Arabidopsis thaliana: one gene and its partners. The protein of the gene in region 2 interacts with the protein of the main gene of each other region in a pairwise test. Each region holds a gene or a part of one and is shown on either strand. Other genes may lie near its edges.

The links.
Region 1: the proteins of AT3G52070 (region 2) and AT2G01970 interact in a protein complementation assay, tested with the Arabidopsis thaliana proteins (one large-scale study listed by BioGRID).
Region 3: the proteins of AT3G52070 (region 2) and AT5G52050 interact in a protein complementation assay, tested with the Arabidopsis thaliana proteins (one large-scale study listed by BioGRID).
Region 4: the proteins of AT3G52070 (region 2) and ALE2 interact in a protein complementation assay, tested with the Arabidopsis thaliana proteins (one large-scale study listed by BioGRID).

What each region holds. Positions count from the first base shown.
Region 1 is NC_003071.7:451,307-456,816, forward strand, and holds AT2G01970 (Endomembrane protein 70 protein family), read right to left. Parts: upstream 3,654-5,510; 5' UTR 3,514-3,653; coding exon 3,362-3,513; intron 3,137-3,361; coding exon 3,096-3,136; intron 2,996-3,095; coding exon 2,410-2,995; intron 2,323-2,409; coding exon 2,185-2,322; intron 2,103-2,184; coding exon 1,946-2,102; intron 1,869-1,945; coding exon 1,384-1,868; intron 1,111-1,383; coding exon 891-1,110; 3' UTR 552-890; downstream 1-551. Other genes in the region: TET14 (tetraspanin14), read left to right, coding at 212-496.
Region 2 is NC_003074.8:19,310,714-19,313,762, forward strand, and holds AT3G52070 (RNA/RNP complex-1-interacting phosphatase), read left to right. Parts: upstream 1-2,004; 5' UTR 2,005-2,039; coding exon 2,040-2,384; 3' UTR 2,385-2,511; downstream 2,512-3,049. Other genes in the region: AT3G52060 (core-2/I-branching beta-1,6-N-acetylglucosaminyltransferase family protein), read right to left, coding at 274-1,314; AT3G52075 (uncharacterized protein), read right to left, coding at 2,534-2,707.
Region 3 is NC_003076.8:21,137,070-21,141,441, reverse strand, and holds AT5G52050 (MATE efflux family protein), read right to left. Parts: upstream 2,740-4,372; 5' UTR 2,510-2,739; coding exon 992-2,509; 3' UTR 566-991; downstream 1-565.
Region 4 is NC_003071.7:8,755,326-8,761,938, forward strand, and holds ALE2 (Protein kinase superfamily protein), read right to left. Parts: upstream 4,974-6,613; 5' UTR 4,521-4,973; coding exon 4,448-4,520; intron 3,901-4,447; coding exon 3,796-3,900; intron 3,705-3,795; coding exon 3,594-3,704; intron 3,444-3,593; coding exon 3,075-3,443; intron 2,994-3,074; coding exon 2,736-2,993; intron 2,657-2,735; coding exon 2,267-2,656; intron 2,157-2,266; coding exon 1,931-2,156; intron 1,853-1,930; coding exon 1,150-1,852; 3' UTR 527-1,149; downstream 1-526. Other genes in the region: RIN13 (RPM1 interacting protein 13), read right to left, coding at 6,003-6,613. UniProt on the Arabidopsis thaliana protein: Required during the differentiation of the protoderm into shoots epidermis and cuticle.

The DNA of each region.
Region 1 (5,510 bases), on a different chromosome or scaffold from region 2:
TTCCAAAAAAATCTTTTTATTTATCCAATTAAGATTTTGAAAAATTAGTTTATTTAAAGTACATATATTAATTTGTTTTAAATATTTGAAGCCGTGATATGCAAGATTTAATACCACTAAATCCTAATAAGATATGACGAAAGAGAAAATCTTTTCTTGATATATTTTTAAAAAAGTCATAATCTTTTGTTCTTGTTGTTTGTTGTGTTAGACTGGATGCTGCAATCGGCCAGGGAATTGCAAACTAGAGACGGTCAATGCAACATTGTGGGTTACAAGAAATCGTGAAGGACCACCTTTGGAAACGGCAATGATCTATGATCGTTACGGTGGCAATGCAGACATAAAGGATTATTACGATATGTGGAGACACGAGTTAAGTGTGTTGTACTATGATTGTATGACTTGTCAGGTTAGGATCATTAAGTCTCCAAGGCTGCGCAAATGGTGGCAGTTCGGTGTTTTCTTATCTTCCCTCACCTCTTTGTTTAGATAGATCACAAATTCATAGATGATTTTGATCGAATAGATTAGCGATTTGGTTCAAGAGAGTTGTTATTTTTTCGTCTTTAGAATATATATAGATCAATAAAAAAAAGGTTACAAAGTTATCTTAATTAATTACCAAAAAAAGAAGATAACTCTCTAAAGTAGTAGAGAAGAGAAAGACTTCACCTAAACAAACATAGTTTCGTCTATAAATCATATCACAGAAAACAAACTGCCACAAAACATTTTAACAAAAAGGAAAAAAAATGTGACCACAGAGCGATTTGGTATTCAGTTTCTGGCTTCGAAGAAGTCTTCTTCTTTATCTACCTAAGAACAGATTATCATCTTCTTTGTTCTACCAAAAATCGTAAGGGGGAGGGTGATTGGCAGCAACAGTTTTACTCGCATTTAATCGACCGGTAAATGTGGCGGACGAAGAGGAGAGCAGCGCGGAAGCCAACGGTTCCAAGCATGAGGAAGAAACCGTAACAAATGCAAGCCATGTACCCGAAGAAGAAGGATGTTTGCATGAAACCAGACATGTCTGATCTTGCGTAGTAGTAGTATAAGCAGTACGCATATATAAACAGACCAGTCGATCCACCACATAGGAATGATCTGCAACAAAGAATATTAATAACTATAACAATGTAATTTTATTATCACCAATCCAATTCAAATTCGAATTTAAAATCTACGGAAGGATTTAGTAGATGTGCCTAATCAAGCCAAACTGAAACCCTACGTAAGTAATCAGTTTGAAACTGATACTAAAACGAAACACAAACCATAGCAATTCTAAGCTATTTGTATTTGGTATTATCATTTGGTTTTCTATATTCCATATACCAAAAACCGAATTAAAAAACCAGCTTGGGTGGAAAAATTTACCTCCACCACCATTCATGATCTTCAGCAGCGAGTTGGAAGTAAGTAAGGGCAACTGTTATAAAAGCAGTGACGATCAACAGGATGATGAAGACGATGAAGAGGATGCTGTAAATGGTATAGATACGATGGCCCCAAACACTGGCAAAGATGTAATATAGCTCGATGTAGATGGCACTGAAAGGAAGAAATCCAGCCATGGCCATCTGCGGTACAGCACTCCTGTACCATGGGAGTGGCGGGATCTCCCGAGGATACTTAGTGGTGCGGACTGGAGCTTGGAACTCAGCTTTGCTGTTTTTACCGGCAATACCACCCAACACAAGTAAAGGCGAAGTGACTAGTGTCCATATGAGGACGATCACTATGATGGTTCCAAAGGGAAGAGCGGCAGTTGCACTGTATGCGATTGCAACGGTGTTTAGGAAGCAGAAGGTGAGAAATAGTGGGCCACAGAAGAGACCTCCAGTTAGCAGCAAATTTCTCACCTGAAGAGGAAGAACGGTGAGAAATGAAAAGCTTATCACTTTAAGTTGAAAAGAGTAAAGGGAAAGGGTTTACATACCCAATTCTTTCCTTCGAGTTGACAGTAGAAAGAGGAGGCAGTGTATCCGGCAATTCCAGATGTGAGAGCATAGATAACGACCAAAGCAGTGAAGAGTGCTCCACGGTTGTATGGATAGAACACTCCAACAAGTGAAAGCATGAAAATGAAGATGGTCCTGATGACATATGAGGTATATTACAGTTAGTAATGGCAAAGAATAACTAAAGATAAACGAAGGAGGCTGAAAAGAGACTTACAGAGTGAACAACTGGGTACCGCTACCAAGAGATGCAGCAAAGAGAGATTTGTTCTTTGGGAACCGGAAGACATCTCCATGAATGTATTTCCATCCGGTTTCCTCTTGATCATCAGCAGCTTCCTCATCTTGAGCATACCTTTGAAAGTTAGGGGAAAAGTTAATGGTTGGAAACAAAAGTGTGCATCGGTGAGTCAAGCACAAAGAGTTAGCATTCAAAACTTACTTCATGAAATCATTCTTGAGGACCCGCATCAGGATGGTTGCAAGGAAACCAGTCAAAAGAAGGACAGTGACGCAGGAGTTAATAATGGAGAACCAGTGGATTTCCAAGTGATGTGGAAGAGAAGAAGACATAGCATACTTATCCATTCTTTTCTCAAAAGAAGTCTCAGTTTCCTTCCACTTCACAGTGTACATAAACTCAGCATCGACTTCCTTATCCTCAGTAAGATCCACAAGCGAATGAGGATCCATTCTAGCATTGATTTCAATCACCCGATCCTTATTGTACAAAATCTCAAACTGGATGTGTTTGTAGAGAAAATATTTAAACTCGCTAGGATCAGATTTGCTCTCTTTGTCCACCTTCCCAATGAATCCCCAAATAGGCAAATCATCATAATACATCTGAAAGTAATAATCTTTTTCAACAGCTCTTCGAAAGTGTTCAACTTCTTCTCTACTAAGCTTCTTTTTACAGTACACCTCTGAGTCTTTCTCATCTCTAAAGTTAAGCTTGTATGGAGCACTAACAAGCCTATCCCCATTCAAAACCTCACCAAGAGCTTCCTTCTTATCTTTCACACCCTCTACACAAACCAAAACAAATGCATATTGACACCAAAATACACAAATCCGAAAAAAGTGAAAAACCACACATAACAGAGACAACATTGAGCGTGCTCGTACCTGGAATACAAAAGGGGAGATCGAAATAGCGATACGTCTCACTGCAACAATCATCAAACACAAGTAAAAATCAGTCATATAACAATGCAATCGAAGATCTATCACATTTTAAGAACACGAATCGAATTTTTTCAAGGTCAGATACAAAAATTCAATACCAACGCAAGCTTCTACAGAAATTTGCAACGATCAATTTATCACTCATCAAAGAGAATCACAGATCTAAGCTACCGACAAAGGAACTGAGATTAGAGAATTGGATTTACCTGGGATTGTGAAAGGGGCCGACCTTGTTGGCGTAGAGAGGAACGGAGTCACCGTCCTTGTAACGGTGGTCGGAGGCATCGGATCTGACAGTACCGGCGCCGGAGAAGATGAGAGCTCCGATAAAGAGGAGCAGCGTCGTTGGTAATCTCATGATGATGTGTGTTAATGTGAGAGGAAGAAGAAAATCGTGAGATCTGAGTTTGCTTTATATTTTTGAGAGCAACGCTTATGGCAAAAGGACGATTATATTACTTTTATTTATTTTATCTCTCTTTTTAACGAATTTTCTTCTACTAAATGCTTAAGAAAAAATATTGCGAATAAAAAGCATTATGTAAGAAAATAAAATCTGCGACATTTTAATATTTTTTTTAGAAATTGAAATGATTATTTTTATATATTTTATTTTTGGTTGTTTTCTTAAATCTTCTAAACAAAATTCGTATTAATTCACAAAATTTTAAATTATTTAATACGTTTCGTAAGAAACTTGTGAATGGCAGAGGCAAGTGATATAAACTGAAGCAAATAAAACTTTCTATAATCGATATTTTTTGTTACAATTGTCGTTTTTTTTTTAATAAGTAGCAATTTTCTATTGGTAGAGTGATTCTCTCGTTCTTGTGCTTTCTACTATTTATAGGAGTTTTATTGCATTCCATGTGACTATAACAATCAGTAATGTTCTTTTTACTCTTTAACAAAATCATGATGATGAAGATACAAATAAAAAGGTGGTCAAAAGAAAAAAGATCAATAGTGCCTCGTTTTTTTTTTTCACAATAGTATCTCGTTTATGAAATTGATTAAAGCAAAGCAAGTAAAAAGTATTATCAATTGGAATATAAACCAAATTTTTTGTACATAAAATGAATGATGTAGTAATTTATATACCTGATTATCTTAACTAAACTCAATTTTTTGCAACCAAACCAGATAAATAAGAACACTATAAAATTAAGATGTTAATTACACAGACAATAATTTTATTTATTTATAAAGTTTATTTTTGTAACAGCTCTGATACTTATTGATTTTGCACCTTCTTTGATGGTGGTGGCGAATCATACACTCATCAGCGACCATGATATGTAATCCATCAACGAGTTCTCTCTGAATCTTCTCGCCTGGAACCAGTTTTCCAGAGCATAAACATAAGCCTTAGAACAAAACAAACATCTACTATCCCCTGAACTACTAATGATAGAGTAATCAATGTAAACTCTTTTCCTATTGTAGAATTTACCATTAGACAAATTATTATGCATGTTGTTAGCATCTCTACTCTTGAAAAATCTTCGTAAGCTGATTGGAAAATCAAAGAATAACAAACTAACTAACTAACAATCACTACTCTATAAGCAAATCTTGAATACCAATAGAGATTCTTTATGTTGGATTCTATCTTTGAGCATTTCATTAGGATCGACGGTTGGTCGATTAATCAATACTAACCCAAACAGTCTTTTAACATGCACACTTGATACCTTGTAGGTGCTTCTGGGTAGCATGAAAATGATAATTGGTGTTATTCTGATATGCGAAATTGAAAATGTTGTTGTGCATCAGCTAAGCATAATTGAAAGTTTAAAAAATATTATAAATTTAACGTGAAGAATTGAAAGGTATCAGATTAATGTTTTGGATCAGCCGAATAGAGTCAGGCTAATCCAAATTCTCAAATATTTTCGAAACCTTAAACACATCAAACTCCACGAAGTAAACACACTCACACACATATCAAAATCCACATTATAAATGTATTTTTGGTAGGCTAGTCGTCTAATTCTAAAATAGCCAATTTACATTTGCAATTGTTTATTCAAAAAAGTACAACAGTAAGAGGTCTTATCAATTAAATCATAAGAAAAATATGTCCCAAAATGTCAAAAAACCAACTACGAATATTTCTTTTCCTTTTAAGGCCAAACCAGGTTTTGGAATACTTATTACAAATAAACTCAATTTCAATAAATTCTTGTACACAAATTAAGCACTAATTTCATTGTGAAGATACCATAGTCACATTCACATCTATATGACATCAATCTATAAAATCCAAAACAAACTATATATTATATTTATATTATTTTTTTGTCATCATTATATTTCCATTAATTTATCTAATTCTGGTTCTAATATACTCTT
Region 2 (3,049 bases):
TTACATCCATTTTCCCATATCTCTACCTTCCCTAGAGACACACAAAAGCTTAAAAAACACAGCAATTTTCACACACACACACAGAAGTTCATCTTTATTTAGCCACTCTTCTTCGAGCGCCAACACAAGCTTCTTCCTAAACCTTCCTTATGATGATATCTGAAACCTGAACACAATAACAAGAAGATAAGCAAATTGAAACTAAACTCTCAAACTGTATTCATATTTACACATTGAGATTTCAGTGTTATACCTAATTTACTTTCACCGAATTCAATCCCTAAAGATCACAGCATCTGCAATCTCCATAAGCGGTTGCAATGACTCCGGCGTGAATTTTCTGGCGAAGAAATAGTCTAAACTCGAATTAGATCTCCGCAGAGAGTGAATCAGCTGCGGCGAGATCTCAGAGGCATCGTACGTGTGAGGATGACCACCAACACTACCGGTCCAATTAACACGTGTGAGTGTAAAGTGACTACATCCTTGAGGATCCTCAAGAGACAACAAAGTCGGAAAATAATGTTCTTCAGGGTAACAAGATTCAACATCAAGGCATGGTAATTTGAATTTCCTCCATAGCTTTCTCTCTTTGATCACCATTAGAGCATGACGTTTCGCTAATACGAAGAACTGAGATCCAACACGGAAGTCTTGGTACTGGATCTCAGGAAGCATCGCGTCGTCTCCTCTTGCGTTGTATCGTTTCAGAAGGAACGGTTCATCGGAGAGGATCTCGATGAAGCTTTGTTGATGATGATCGGAGAAGAGGTGGTTGTGGATGTAAGAGAAGGAATGGAGAGGGATACAGTGTTGTGAGATTAAAGCGAAATAGAGATTGTTAGGATCGTCGAGGATTGCGTTTGCTAGTAATCGTCGTTCGGCGGAGATTAACGTCGGAGAAGCTCGTGCGGTTCTTCTCGCCGGGATGAACTTAGCGTTGATTGATGAAGAATCGAGAAGAGGAGAGACGGAGGAGGTTGGATCTGCGTGGATGTAAACGTTGTAGAGATCTTGGTGACCTTGGAAGAAGCTTTCCCAGAGAGGTAAGAAGGTTAGATCGGAGTTTGTTAGGAAGAGGAAAGCGATCTTTGGGGGTGGATTTGGAGAGAGGGAGATGAGACGACGGTTGTTGTTGGTGGAGGAAGAGACGACGGCGCGGTGGAAGAGAGAGAGGTCGTCTAGGTCATCGGCGGTGGAAATGAGGGTAGAGGAAGAGAGAAGGATGTGTGGTGAGAGGATGAAGAGGAAGAAGAGAAGAGAAAGAGAGAGGAAGAGAGATAGAGAATAAACGAGTGTAGAAGATGAGAACATCTCTCTGTATACAACAACACAGAATTTCTCTGAGGAAGAAGAAGAAGAAGAAGAAGAAGATTGATTGAAATGAATGAGTTAGAAAAAATTCTGATGTGACAATAAAAAGGAAAAAGGGGAATAATGACGTCAGCAAAATGGGGACACGTGAAATTATTTTTAAAATTATTTGGGACAATCGACACAGTTGCTCTATCGCTATTTGTTTACGTGGGGCTGTTCTCTCTCTATTTATATAATAATGAGATACGGTTTTTTCAGCAACCAGATTTTAAAGTTATCTGATTAAATCTAATAATAGGATAGAGATAGAGTCACAGAGACATGTTGTTGACTTTATGACATTATTTTATTCTTTGCTTATCCACTCAGTCATCATTTATCTCACCAGTCAGACATAATGTGTTGTTGTTGTGAATTTGTAGATGCTTCCGACTATACCTGATTACCTGGCCATTCAGAATCGGTTTGGATCAAAAAATTTGGGTTTTCGGTTTAGAAATCGAAACAAACCGAATTAGTTGAAACGAACCGAATAGAAATTCGGCCAATTTGGTTTTGCATTGGCGTGTACCTTGTGACTACATGTGTGTGTGTTAGATGAGATCTATCCACCCATTTTTCAAATCATTTTTGTCGTTAAGCTATCAAGATTCTGATATTTTCCTGCTCACTTTTGATTCCCAAAACAAAAAACTTTCTTCAATTATTCTATTCATCTTCTCATGGCGGCTCTCTCCACCACCTTCTACTACCACCCACTCTGCACTAACCACCGTACAAAGAGACAAGCCTCAAGCAGACACGGAGTTAGATCTATGAGAGTGATGTCTTGTCGGAAGCAGAAATTACCAGAAGAGAATGAAGGAGTGATCCAGAGAACATTGAGAAGGATGATTTCAGAGGCTGGGAAGATTGGGAAGAATCTGAAGCCAGAGAAGAAGAAAGGAGACGTCAAGGACCTGATGCTTATGAGTCTCTCTTTTGCTGTTTATGTTTATATCTCTCAACTATTGGTTTGTGCTTACTTCTCCTGGCAACATCTCAGCTTCCCCAAATCTTCATGGTAGTAGCTAAGCTAGCTCCTCCTTGTAAATTCTGCACAAATCAGTAATAAGATAAGAAATTCAATTCCGACATAGGAGAATTGAGAGTTGTGATCTTTCACTTTGGTCTTATATAATTGAATTGTTAAGCTTCTCATACCTCTTTATCTGCTTTAACTCCGGCAGAAAAGGCAAACCAACCATTGCGATAACACTATCAACCAGTTAAGGCTCTTTGTTTTAGAGCCGAAAGGAGATGCAAGAGCCTCGGGCAGAGTCGCTGAGTATGCCTTGAAAACCAAAACTTTGACCGTAATTGTTAGAAAGAAAGAGAGATTCCTAACCATTTCGTATTGGCCTCCTCCAATTTATCCTCCTTAAACAGAGAGCCCCATCCATTTTCCTTCTGTGTGCTGCACCAAACCTTTCCTCCATAGTCATATCACTGCGAGCTTTTCCCTGTACAATCCAACCTCTAAGTCAGCTATAAGCAAAGAGCTTGGGATAAAAGCTTGGTTGTGGAGTGTTCAGGTAAGGAAACAAGAATCAGCAAATGATCTTAAAGAAAAAACGTTCCTCCTTTGTTTCATCAAATCCAACAACTTCAGCGTCATCTAACAATTCCGCTATAGATGGAACATTGGGAAAAAGAAGAGTTTCCATCTCTCCTATATGCTAAATTCCCAGCA
Region 3 (4,372 bases), on a different chromosome or scaffold from region 2:
GCAAAAAAATAATTAATGTTAAATATATATTTGCCTAAAGTTATTATATGTAACGATAAACGATATTAAAAAGATAAAAAATAGAAAATAAAATTAGCGATAAAAGATTTATTAAATAAATAAATGATATTTTTGACGTTATCCTAATGAAAATATGAAAAAACTTATTTTTGTGAGCAGCATTTGGAAAGAAGTAAGTGATTGGCTAAACTTCTGTGTGTAAATAAAGGCTTTTTCTTTTATGTTAAATGTTTTTCTATTTAAATCAGGAGTTTCCAAAGTAAAAGAAAACACAAACTAACCATGATCCCATAGTTATGGCTTTTTTAATAATCGCAAAGGTTTTATCTATTTTATTTTACCACGGAAGAAATTGATGTGTAAATGATCTATCACATAGAGGGATATACTTTGCCTCGAAGCATCACTAGAAGCTAATTAATCAAACATGTATATTTGAAATTGTCGACTATGGTTATAATACATATGTGAATTTAATTCCTTGTACACACCTTATTTGCAGTTATTTAAATATAGTTATATAATTATTTATGCATATTAAAAAAAAAAATCCCCCATTATTTTTACATTTCGTCCGCATGTGCTACTTTAGTTTGTTATATTGATTGAATTAACAAAGACACCCACAATCCCATGGTTATTGATTTTCTTCAGTAAGGTCAATGGTTAGTTTATTTATTTTCTCAAGATTTATTCTGCGTCCAAAAAAATCGTTACACTAAACAAAACATACAATGTAACTGAATTCTGTCGAATAAAGAAAGGTTTAAGCGATTTGAGCAAAATTTGACCTTATGAATTTAAAAACCTTGAATACAACGACGAATCTCTAGATTGTGTTATCATTACACTACAAAATTTACATTAATCCTCCAACGAATCTCTTCTCAATAAAAGAAAAAAGTTATCAACTAATTCAAAACAAAGTCAATTTGTTTTTGTTAAAGACCTCCTCATGACTCATTCCTCCCTACTTATCAACCATCCCAGCCTCCATATCCTCCTTGGCGTCGTCGTCACTACTGCCACAATCCACCGCCGTTGTGAGCACCTTAGCCCTTTCCGCCTCAAGTTCCCAATCGGTCCTACACGTCGCCGCCATCATACCAATCACACACGTGATCTGCGCCGCAAGCATCCCAAGCCAAAGTCCCTTAAATCCAAACCCAAACCAAAACGCCAAAACTGCTCCAACCGGAATGCCAACCGCGTAAAACGCCACTCCATTAATATTAGCTCCGATCTTCGGCCTCGCGGAGCCTCTGAGAACACCGCATCCCGTAGTTTGCGGGCAGTTCCCGAGCTCACATAGACCAACGATTGGCAGAGCCATGGCAGTCAACTTCATGATTTCTTTGTCATCAGTGAAAAACATCGCCCATGTGTTTCTAACCGAGACAGTAAACGCGAAAGCCGTAAACCCTAGGGCGATGCTGAGACCAAGTCCAACAATGGCTGCTCTTCTCGCTCTTTTTGGCTGGTTAGAACCAAGCTCGTTTCCGACCCGGGTGGAGACTCCTAAACTCAAGGAATGAGGGAAAATGTACACAAGAGAAGTGATTTGGATGAGAATTCCCATTGAAGCAACACTTGCTTTAGGGTCTAAGAGAAACCCACAAAGCAAAATCATAATCTCATAGCACCACCACTCAAGACAAACCGATATACAACTTGGTATCGCAAGACAGAGTAGTTTCTTCCATTCTCTCACACTATCTTCACATGTCTCCTCTGTTATCTTCTCGTCCTCATTAACACTTAGCTTGTCTTCGAAGAAACAGATGTAGAGAAAGAGGAAAGCGACAAGGTTGAAATTAGACACAACACCACTCAAAGCGATTCCTTTAATCCCCAAACCGAGGTAACTTACAAGGAAGAACGTGATTGGCAAGTGAAGAAAACTCGCGATCACTGTACAGATTGATAAAGGAAGAGTCTTTGACTGAGTCCGAAGATAAACTCTTAATGGGTGTAAGAAAGATTGAGCGACAAGATCTGGAACAGAGTAAAGCAAAAAGATGTGCGCTTCGGACGCGAGCTTCTTGTCCTGTTTCAAGATTAGAAGAATCTTCTCCATATTCATCCAAAGAAGTGTAACAGGGAGAGAAGTGACGAGAAGGAGGATGATTCCTCTCTTGACACTCGCGCAGACGTAGTTATAGCGTCTGGCTCCAAAGGCTTGTGAACAGATAGACTCAACGCCCATGGTTAAACCGGAGAAAAGAGAGTATCCGGTGATGTTTGCAAATGCGGCGGCGAGGGAGCCACCGGCGAGAGTGGCGTCACCGAGACCACCGAGGAAAGACAGAGAGACGAAGGAGCGAACGTAGAGGAAGAGACCAGTGAGGACCAATGGGTAAGAGATTTTGCAGATTGAGATTGCTTCATTTAGGAAAACAGAGAGAACAGAGGAGTGATTTTTCAGATGAGAGGTTTTTTGGAGTAAAGGTAATGTAACTTCGTCTCTGACACGATTTGATTGACTCATTCTTTTTGTTTTTGTCAATATCTGTGTGACAGAGGAAGAGGGAGAGAGAGAGAAGAAGAAGATTTGTAGGTGTGAAGAAGATTGGTTGAAGCATTTGGCTTTATATAGAGAAAGTAGTGAGTGGGTTTTATTGTTTTAACATATTATTTTTTTCGTTGCACTGGATTTTAATATTATTATTTTCAATTTGGTCATATGTATTTTATTTTCAAGTCAAATGGTTACACGCTTATTACATTCAAATTTGTATGTTCTTGTTGTTTAACTAGAGTTAAATCCATATACACGGTTTCTACTCAATCTGAAGATGTATTAGTGATGCATTGACACATAGTATCATTAGTATTAGTATAAATAGACTATCACCTCAAAATCATGATTTCAAAAAATGTTTATTATTTTCTTCTTTTGTCAAATGTTTTTTTTTTCTTGTCAATATATACAGTTTATAATGTGAATCAAAATCTATATGACAAAAATTAGAATAATAATATATTTTGTCTAAATCATGTATGTTGATTATACGCATGTTATATACTTATATCATGTATCACTATACTGATTCAAACTGGAAAAAACGGTGTGTACGGATTTAACTATAGCTAATTACAGTTAACTACGTGTGTATAATTTCTAATGGAATAGAATACATGCATATAGATTCATTTAAACGATGACAACCAGCTCTGGTTTGAGAAATTTAAACCTTACATTAAACGTGATCCTCATAAATCAAAATGGGGAAAAAAGAATGAGGAAAGATTAGTAAACCAAGCATAATTTACTAGCACTTGATCCAATTTTTGACTAATTAGATTGTTATATTATTCCCTTGCTGAAAAACCCTGAGAGCTGGGATAATTTACGTTAAGAGGAGGACCTTGAAATTGGTAATTTACGTTCACACACTTAAAGGAGATATTGCCATATGATAGACGAGGCCCAACTCAAACATTCAAGTACACAAAATATAACTTTTCATCATCACTATATTCTTTAATCAAATAAGATATGATTAGAGTTTTAAATTAACTGACACGGAACGTAATAGCAAAACTGAAACAAGGGACGGGTCAAATATATTCTCATGATAAACATGCCACTAACAAAGTACTTGGCCAGTGGGTTTTGAACCTATTTCAAATAGAAACTTCTCTTTTTTTCCCTGTTTTTTTAAAAAACATCATTTTCTGTTTATAACTTTTCAAAGTCGAAGTTTACACACGGTGTGCCCCACGCGTTGAATTAGACTTTTTAAAAAAATCCCAAAGTGGAGTTTGGGGATTAATGACAGCTCAAAAAAGTAAGCATATTAGATTTTAAAAAGTGCAATATATCATATATCTTTGTAAACAAAATGAAATTGTTTATCGTTACTCACACGATTATGTTCTCGAAATTAAATTTGGATTAGAATATTTGTAACCTAATTGTATACCAATTGTCACAAGAATATGGTCTCAATCTTTTATTTATCTCACAAGAATATGGTCTCAATCTATTATTATAGAGATTCAGTCTTTTGTATCGTACTTATTTAATGTTTTCTATTAATTACGAATGTTTAGGGTCATATTTTTTTATTTAGGCAAAAAAAGAAAAATCTAAACGGTATAATGAAAGCTGTAATCAGCAAAAAGATGGAAGTTCGTTAATATGCAAACTATGAAGTGGAATTGGCTGGTCGGACGTTGACCAGACATGTTCGAGCAAAATAGTGTTCAACACTGAAGAACAAAAAATAAACTCGTTTTGGGACCAAAGAAAACTATATATGTTCCTACATTTTTTTTGGGTCAACAACTATACTTCGCTAAAATTTCTATACATAAACTAACACAAGAACTAACTGTTACAAATTTT
Region 4 (6,613 bases), on a different chromosome or scaffold from region 2:
AATTGATAATATAAGAAAAAAAACTAACTATTGATTAAAAATATTTAGCAATTAAAAAAAATTAACTTCTTAAAAAACTAACTATTAATATTATGAATACTAACTAGCAATTCTAGTTTCTTTGTTCTTTACTTTGGGTTCCAGTAGCATTCATTTCATGGTTCGTTTGGTCACGTTGATCTGATCAGTCAGATACTTAAATCGGACGTTCCTACATATTCCTCGATTAAAAATTATTTTGCTTTTGCCAATATAAACCAAACGCAAACGGATTTTAGCGTTTTGTCCTCAACTGTTATATCTCGAGAGATTAGATAGGTTTCATAATGTAGGCCCAATAAGACCTTATTAATTTTAAATTCAAAATTTTAAAATATTTTTTTCTCTTCCGTTTACTCAGCCACTGTGACCGTTGTTTGCTTAGCCCATAAATCGATTTTTGTGTTTATTGGGCCTACAGATTTTCTTTCTTTAGACTGTGTTGTATAACAAAATGAAGAAGACTCAGAAACTCGAAAGCAAGCTTCGGTTTGGCTGAAGTGGAAGGAGGAATTAAGAAGATATGGAGGAAGAAAGACAAACATATCAAATTATACTCTACGACTTTAAAGATCAACAATCCATGTCATTGTGTCCAATCTACAGAAGATACTAGAAATTAGAAAAGAATTACAACAGCTTTGACCAAGTGACTTGTTACCATTCACCAGCCAATTACTCTCAAGCCAGAATTTTATTTAACCAAAAAATATTTCGGATGTAAATTCAGAAAACCGGAAACTTAACAACGATGACCAAAAGCCAAATTTCTTAGGAACTTGAAAAACTAAAAAAAATTAGGTAATTACTAACTTCACTAAAATAAAATATATAAAAATGTTTTTTTGTGGGTGAGAGAGAAAAGGAGAGAACTAAATACAGGCGTCCTTCAAAATACAACCCTCCCTGTGCTTTTGCATCCTCGCAAAAACAAACAATTAAATCTCTATTGAGGATAATCATAACAACAAACAGCTCCTAAAAGAAATCAAACCGGAAATCTTTACCCAGATGAACCGAACCTGGCCGGATTAACCAGAACCTAACCATGCAGCTCAAGAGTTTGTGAGCCTCCTTTTCCCTTTTCTTCACTGTACATTTTCTGGTTTCTCAGAGCCAGTCACCATTGCCGGACCAGAGATGTCTAGACGACGACGGTCCACCGTGTTCGCTCATGCTTCCTCTCAGTCTAAAGAAGTTTCTTCTACTACGCATGGGTCTTAACGGACCTGATCTGTTTGGTAGAATAAGACCTCCTACTCTTGGAATGCTAGAGGCAGAGTGAGGCCGGTTCTCCATGTCCTCTAGTGGTCCTGAGCTATAATCCATTGTTATGAACGACGAAGCTTGACCATACCTTAACCGAGGTGTCAAATTCCACCAGCTGCTATCCGAAGGAGCCAGATCGCCTTTGAAGTCAGCAGAGTCTGGTACTGATGAGTCCTTTTGGCTGCAATAATCACCACAGGTCTCATCTGCATCGTTGTATATAAGTTTTAGTGCCTGCACAACTTCACCCATGAATGGTCTGTGTGAGACCTCTTGGTGGACGCACATGGAGGCAATCGCAGCCACTTTCGCCATGTCATCAAAGTTGTAGGTTCCAGCCAATGCAGGGTCCACCAGTTGCTCCAGGCCCTCTCTGTTGGCTAGTAAGGGTCTCGCCCATGTCACAAGGTTTTCCTCTCCCGAAGGTTGAGACATGTCTACTGGTCTTCTACCGGTTAGAAGCTCTAGTAGAACTACACCATAACTATAGACATCGCTTTTAACAAGGAGATGCCCCGTCATTGCATACTCAGGAGCCACGTACCTGAAATTATTTCCAGGGTAGTCACTGTAAGTCCAGAGTGTCTGTATTCATCATATTTGAGTTGGAAAGAAATTTTACCCAAAGGTCCCCATGACTCGAGTTGAAATATGTTGACTTCCTTCGGTTGCTTCTCTTGCCAGTCCAAAGTCTGAGACTTTTGGGGTAAAGTCATCTTCTAGGAGAACATTGCTAGCCTTGAAATCACGGTGGATTACTCGGGGATTTGAATCTTCATGGAGATAAGCCAGTCCTCTCGCTGCTCCAAGTGCAATCTTCAACCGCGCATCCCAATCAAGCGTTCCTTCTGTTTTGTCAACAACCGGAAAGCCAGGTTTTAGGTGGTGATGCAACGAGAAGTGATGGATATAATTGGGATATATTGTTATTAAAAGTGCAGAGAAAAGAATATGTCACCGTGTAAGTGGGACTCAACACTCCCATTGTGGACGAGCTCATAAATCAAGCAACGTGTACGACCTTCAATGCATATTCCAATCAGTTTCACAAGATTGCGGTGGTGCAAACGGCTTAGCATCTCGACTTCGGCAATAAATTCACGGTCTCGATTCTGATTGTCCCTAGTTAGCAGTTTCACTGCAACCTCAGTTCCATCTTCCATACTCCCCTGATAAACACGACCAAATCCGCCCTCGCCCAAAACCCTCTTGGCACTGAATCTATCAGTAGCCTTCTCAAGCTCGGAGAGTGTGAAGGTCTTAACTGATAAAGCACATGTAGCCATGGAAGACATCAAAGAATCTGAGCCTGAGCTTCTGGCGCTACTGGAAAACATAGATCCAGCACCTGCAAGGCGAATAAATTTTTCAGAAACAGGTTCTTTTAAAGCTATAGAAGCGTTAAGAAGTCAGAGGGTGAAAATTACCAGGCCTTTTGTTAATCGATGGAGCCAAAGCCGGACCAACAGCATTAGATGACTTCCCAATTTTCTTCCATTTCACGATTATAGAAATAGCTCCAACCAAAACCAGAATGAGGACAAAACCTGACAACGCAATAATTGCAATCGTTCTAAAACCTATTCCCTGGCTTTTGTTGGCAAAAGTTGTTGCATTGATCGGAATTGGAAGGCCTCCTGGAGCATCTCCAGTAACATCTCCATTTGGCGAAGAAGAAGGAATTCCTGAAGCAAGGTTAAGAAGTTCAAACTTTGAAATAAAACAAAAAAAAAGTAGAAACTTGCATCTGAATGAAATCAGTTTACCTGGATAACTTATGTGCGTAACCTCATAATCACCAAAAACAGTCTCATTTAGAGGTACTTTCTTGTGCCGGAATCTCTGATAAATAAGTGTTGCTGTAGTGTTGTCGAACTTTTCCCCAAGTGGAACAAGGTTAATATCCACCACTGTTTTCCCTTGATTTTCACTGTCGGCACTGGCACCCATTATTTTCACTTGGCTTTGTTCCAAGTATGTTCCAGCAGCAACCTCAATTTCTAACTCGTTGGTCACGGGGAAAATAGAAAAAGGTGCGACACTTAGTAGAAGCTGAACTTTCATGGGGAAGACACAACCACAAGGTGAACCAAAGGGAGTTGAAGTGAGAGGCTCCACACATGTCTGCTGACAGTCTATCAAAAGGAAAGCCGGAAATACACAGGAAAAAGTAGTTACTACGCTTGATTTATCAACTGAAGTCTGAAGAAAAAGTATTCATATAAAACATTATCGTTGCCACTATAATAGGACGCAGGATAACCAACAAGAAGCAAAAGAACTACCATGTGACGAAGGTGACACTGCAGTGGCATTGCGTCTTAAATGCCAGCGACGATGACGGTGATGACCCTTGTGCCTTAGTGGTGGAATGCGACTTGGGTTGGGGGAAAAAGCTAAAAAGGGAAAGACAATGAACAATGAATACTCCTAGACAGAAACATAATGACACTATGTTTAGGTGACAAATAGGATTCCCTTACTGACCTGGTGAAGGTGTAGGAGCAACTGATGGATTAAGATAAGGATGAAAGAAATGCATTTGATGCGCCTTTGATCGGGTAAATGGCAAACTCATCGGAAATAACCGAGCTGCAAATGATAAAGCAAGCTGATAAGTCATCTATAGATTCTTTCTACACATGTCGAATATTCATAGCAGTGAAAAGTTTCGAAAAAATAGAATGTTTCTAATAGTATGCATACTCCATCCTCCTCTCTTGGGTTTAAAAGTATAATGCCAACTGTAGAGGATAAAATTTGGCCAAGAGAATGTCACACAAAATCGATATTTCCTCAAGATACTCAGAAAAGAAAGAGTAAGATCTATGTGCATTCTAGCTATTAAAAGGTTGTGTGCCAATTAAGGCACAAAACGTGAGGACTTGATCTTCACTCTCACGCTTCACAATCACAGATTCCAAACTTAAATAATCTAAACTCTTTTGCTTACTTTGTACATAACCAAAATTAGCTTCTAAATATATCTAAATCCAATAAACAATTCTAAATATAGATAGACCACCAACTAATCTTGAGCTGTCAAAGTAAGAGCAACTTAACTAAAGGTTAATTTCTCCTATCAAAATCGTTTCCTAAATTTGAAAAGGGGAAAAGAAATTTGTTAACTAGTTCATACCAAAGCATATAGGAAACGAGGCGAGAGAGTGAAGAAGAAGAATTAACAGCAGAAGCATCGCAAAGTTCCGCATCTCTTATCTCAAATCAAAAACCACCATTAGTCAATAACGGAGACACCAAGCCTCGGCGAACACTCTCCGCCGATCAAAACGAAGACTAACCAGAACCAAAGGTGTAACCATATAGCTTCCTCAAAGCTTCACAGACATTGATTTCTCCCTCGTCCCGAAAAAAATTCAAAAACCCTAGGGTTAGAGAGAAGCGAGTAGGTTTTAACGCGATTTTGACAGATCCACGAAATGCGGCTCGAGATCTGTACAGAGCAGGGAAGCAGAGAACGAGAGCTTCTCCGACGATAGAGAGAACGAGAGCTTCTTCTCCGGCGAAGGTATCAGAGTGGTAGAGAGAGATTGGAAGCGAAGAGAGTAAAGTGAATTCGAAACCAGAAGAAGCGAAGAGAGAGAGAGAATTTAATGCTGATGGTGGGAAGGGGGCGTAGGGTAGTGTGTTGCCGTAGTGAGACTGCTTTCGGAGAAAGGCAAAAAAAAAAAAAAAAAAAAGGCGATGATGATGGCGTTAGCGAACACCGACGCGGTTTCGTATGCGCGTGGTGGCCACGCACATCGAAACGACAAAACTGGTGGCCGTTTGCTACCGTCACATCGACAAAACCGTTTCTTTTTTGGGCGTTAGTTGCCTTATTGGGCCGGGACTTACTTGAATTTTAGCCTACTAAACGGAATCGTTTTGGGTTTGATTTTTTTTTTTTTTTTTTTTTTAAAAAAAAAAAAAAAAAAAAATTAAAAACCCCAAATGGGCTGGGCTTGATTTCTATAAACTTGGAAACTAAGTATTTTCGGATTTTACTTTTGTTAAAAGTTTATTTTCGAAATATTTTACATTAAAAAGTAATAGTAATAATTCCACAAATGACAAGTATCAACTCTCAAAACTATTCCATTTTCGTGTTTGTTTCCAAAATTAATACTATATACTTGGCAAAATTTCCTATACTTTTAAGAAGACTTTATCAGTTATTTCCATTGTTTCTTTTTTTGGGTCAAAAATTCAATTGTTTCTAAAATATTAAAAGCTAACTAAATGATGGTAGAAGTAATTTTGATCCAAAATATAACAATGTTTTTCCGGTTTTGATAAATTTGGACTATTTGTCTATTAGGCAAAATAGAAGTTTGATCAAATTTAATCAAGACCATATGTGTGTGCCTCTTTCTATATCTATCGCTTTTCGATTGTTGATTGTCTTCTTTTACATTACATGGATATTTTCCCCTCCCTAATCATTTAAACAGGCAGTGATAATGATGGTATGTTTGATTTTTGACCTTAAAAAACTCAAATCAACAAACATTATTTATGTCAATTGGCAAACAGGTACTTTTTAGGACTTAATTTTATGATGTACTAGTAGCAGCTAATTAAATGATACACACAATCGAGATTGTAATAAACTACAGCACTCCCTCTACAAAATACAATCAGTGAAGAGAGTTAACCTAGGGACGGAGATACAAACTACCCTTATGAATCTTTCAATCATTCAAAAATGTTTCAAAATCAAATGACAACGTACTAGCATAGTCTTGATTTCCCGGTTCAGGTAACGGACTAACAGGGCCGGTTGGGTTAGGATTTTCCATTAGCCATTTCTCAAATTCCGATAGTTTGGTCTCCAAGACGTTTTCATTAATCCCTGGTTGCTGTTGTACCGTAGCTGTATGCGAATCTTCAGCAGTAAGAGGAGCTTTGGACGGAGCAAACCGATCCACATTTGTCTGAAACTGACGATTTCCACTACCACGTATGTTCTGGTCTGCATGTCGAGTGAACACGTTGCTCTGAGAACCAGGTAGCGCTGTGCAATGATCACGAACATTGCGTTGTTGAGTGTACGTTTCCGGGTTTAATGTAGGTGCCACTGTGGAAGAGCTATGGTGACTGGATTGTGAAACTTGAGCATTGTTAAATCGGATGCTGATACCATTTCCCGCAGAAGAGGCTACTCGGGATCGTAGGCTAAACCTATAAGAACTTCTATCCTTTTGGATCACGCTGTCGCGAACAGTGCTTAATGACTGTGCCGGTTGACTCTGCAACCCTTGATTGTGCGGAATCGGTTGCCTGATTCTATGCCTGGCTTTGA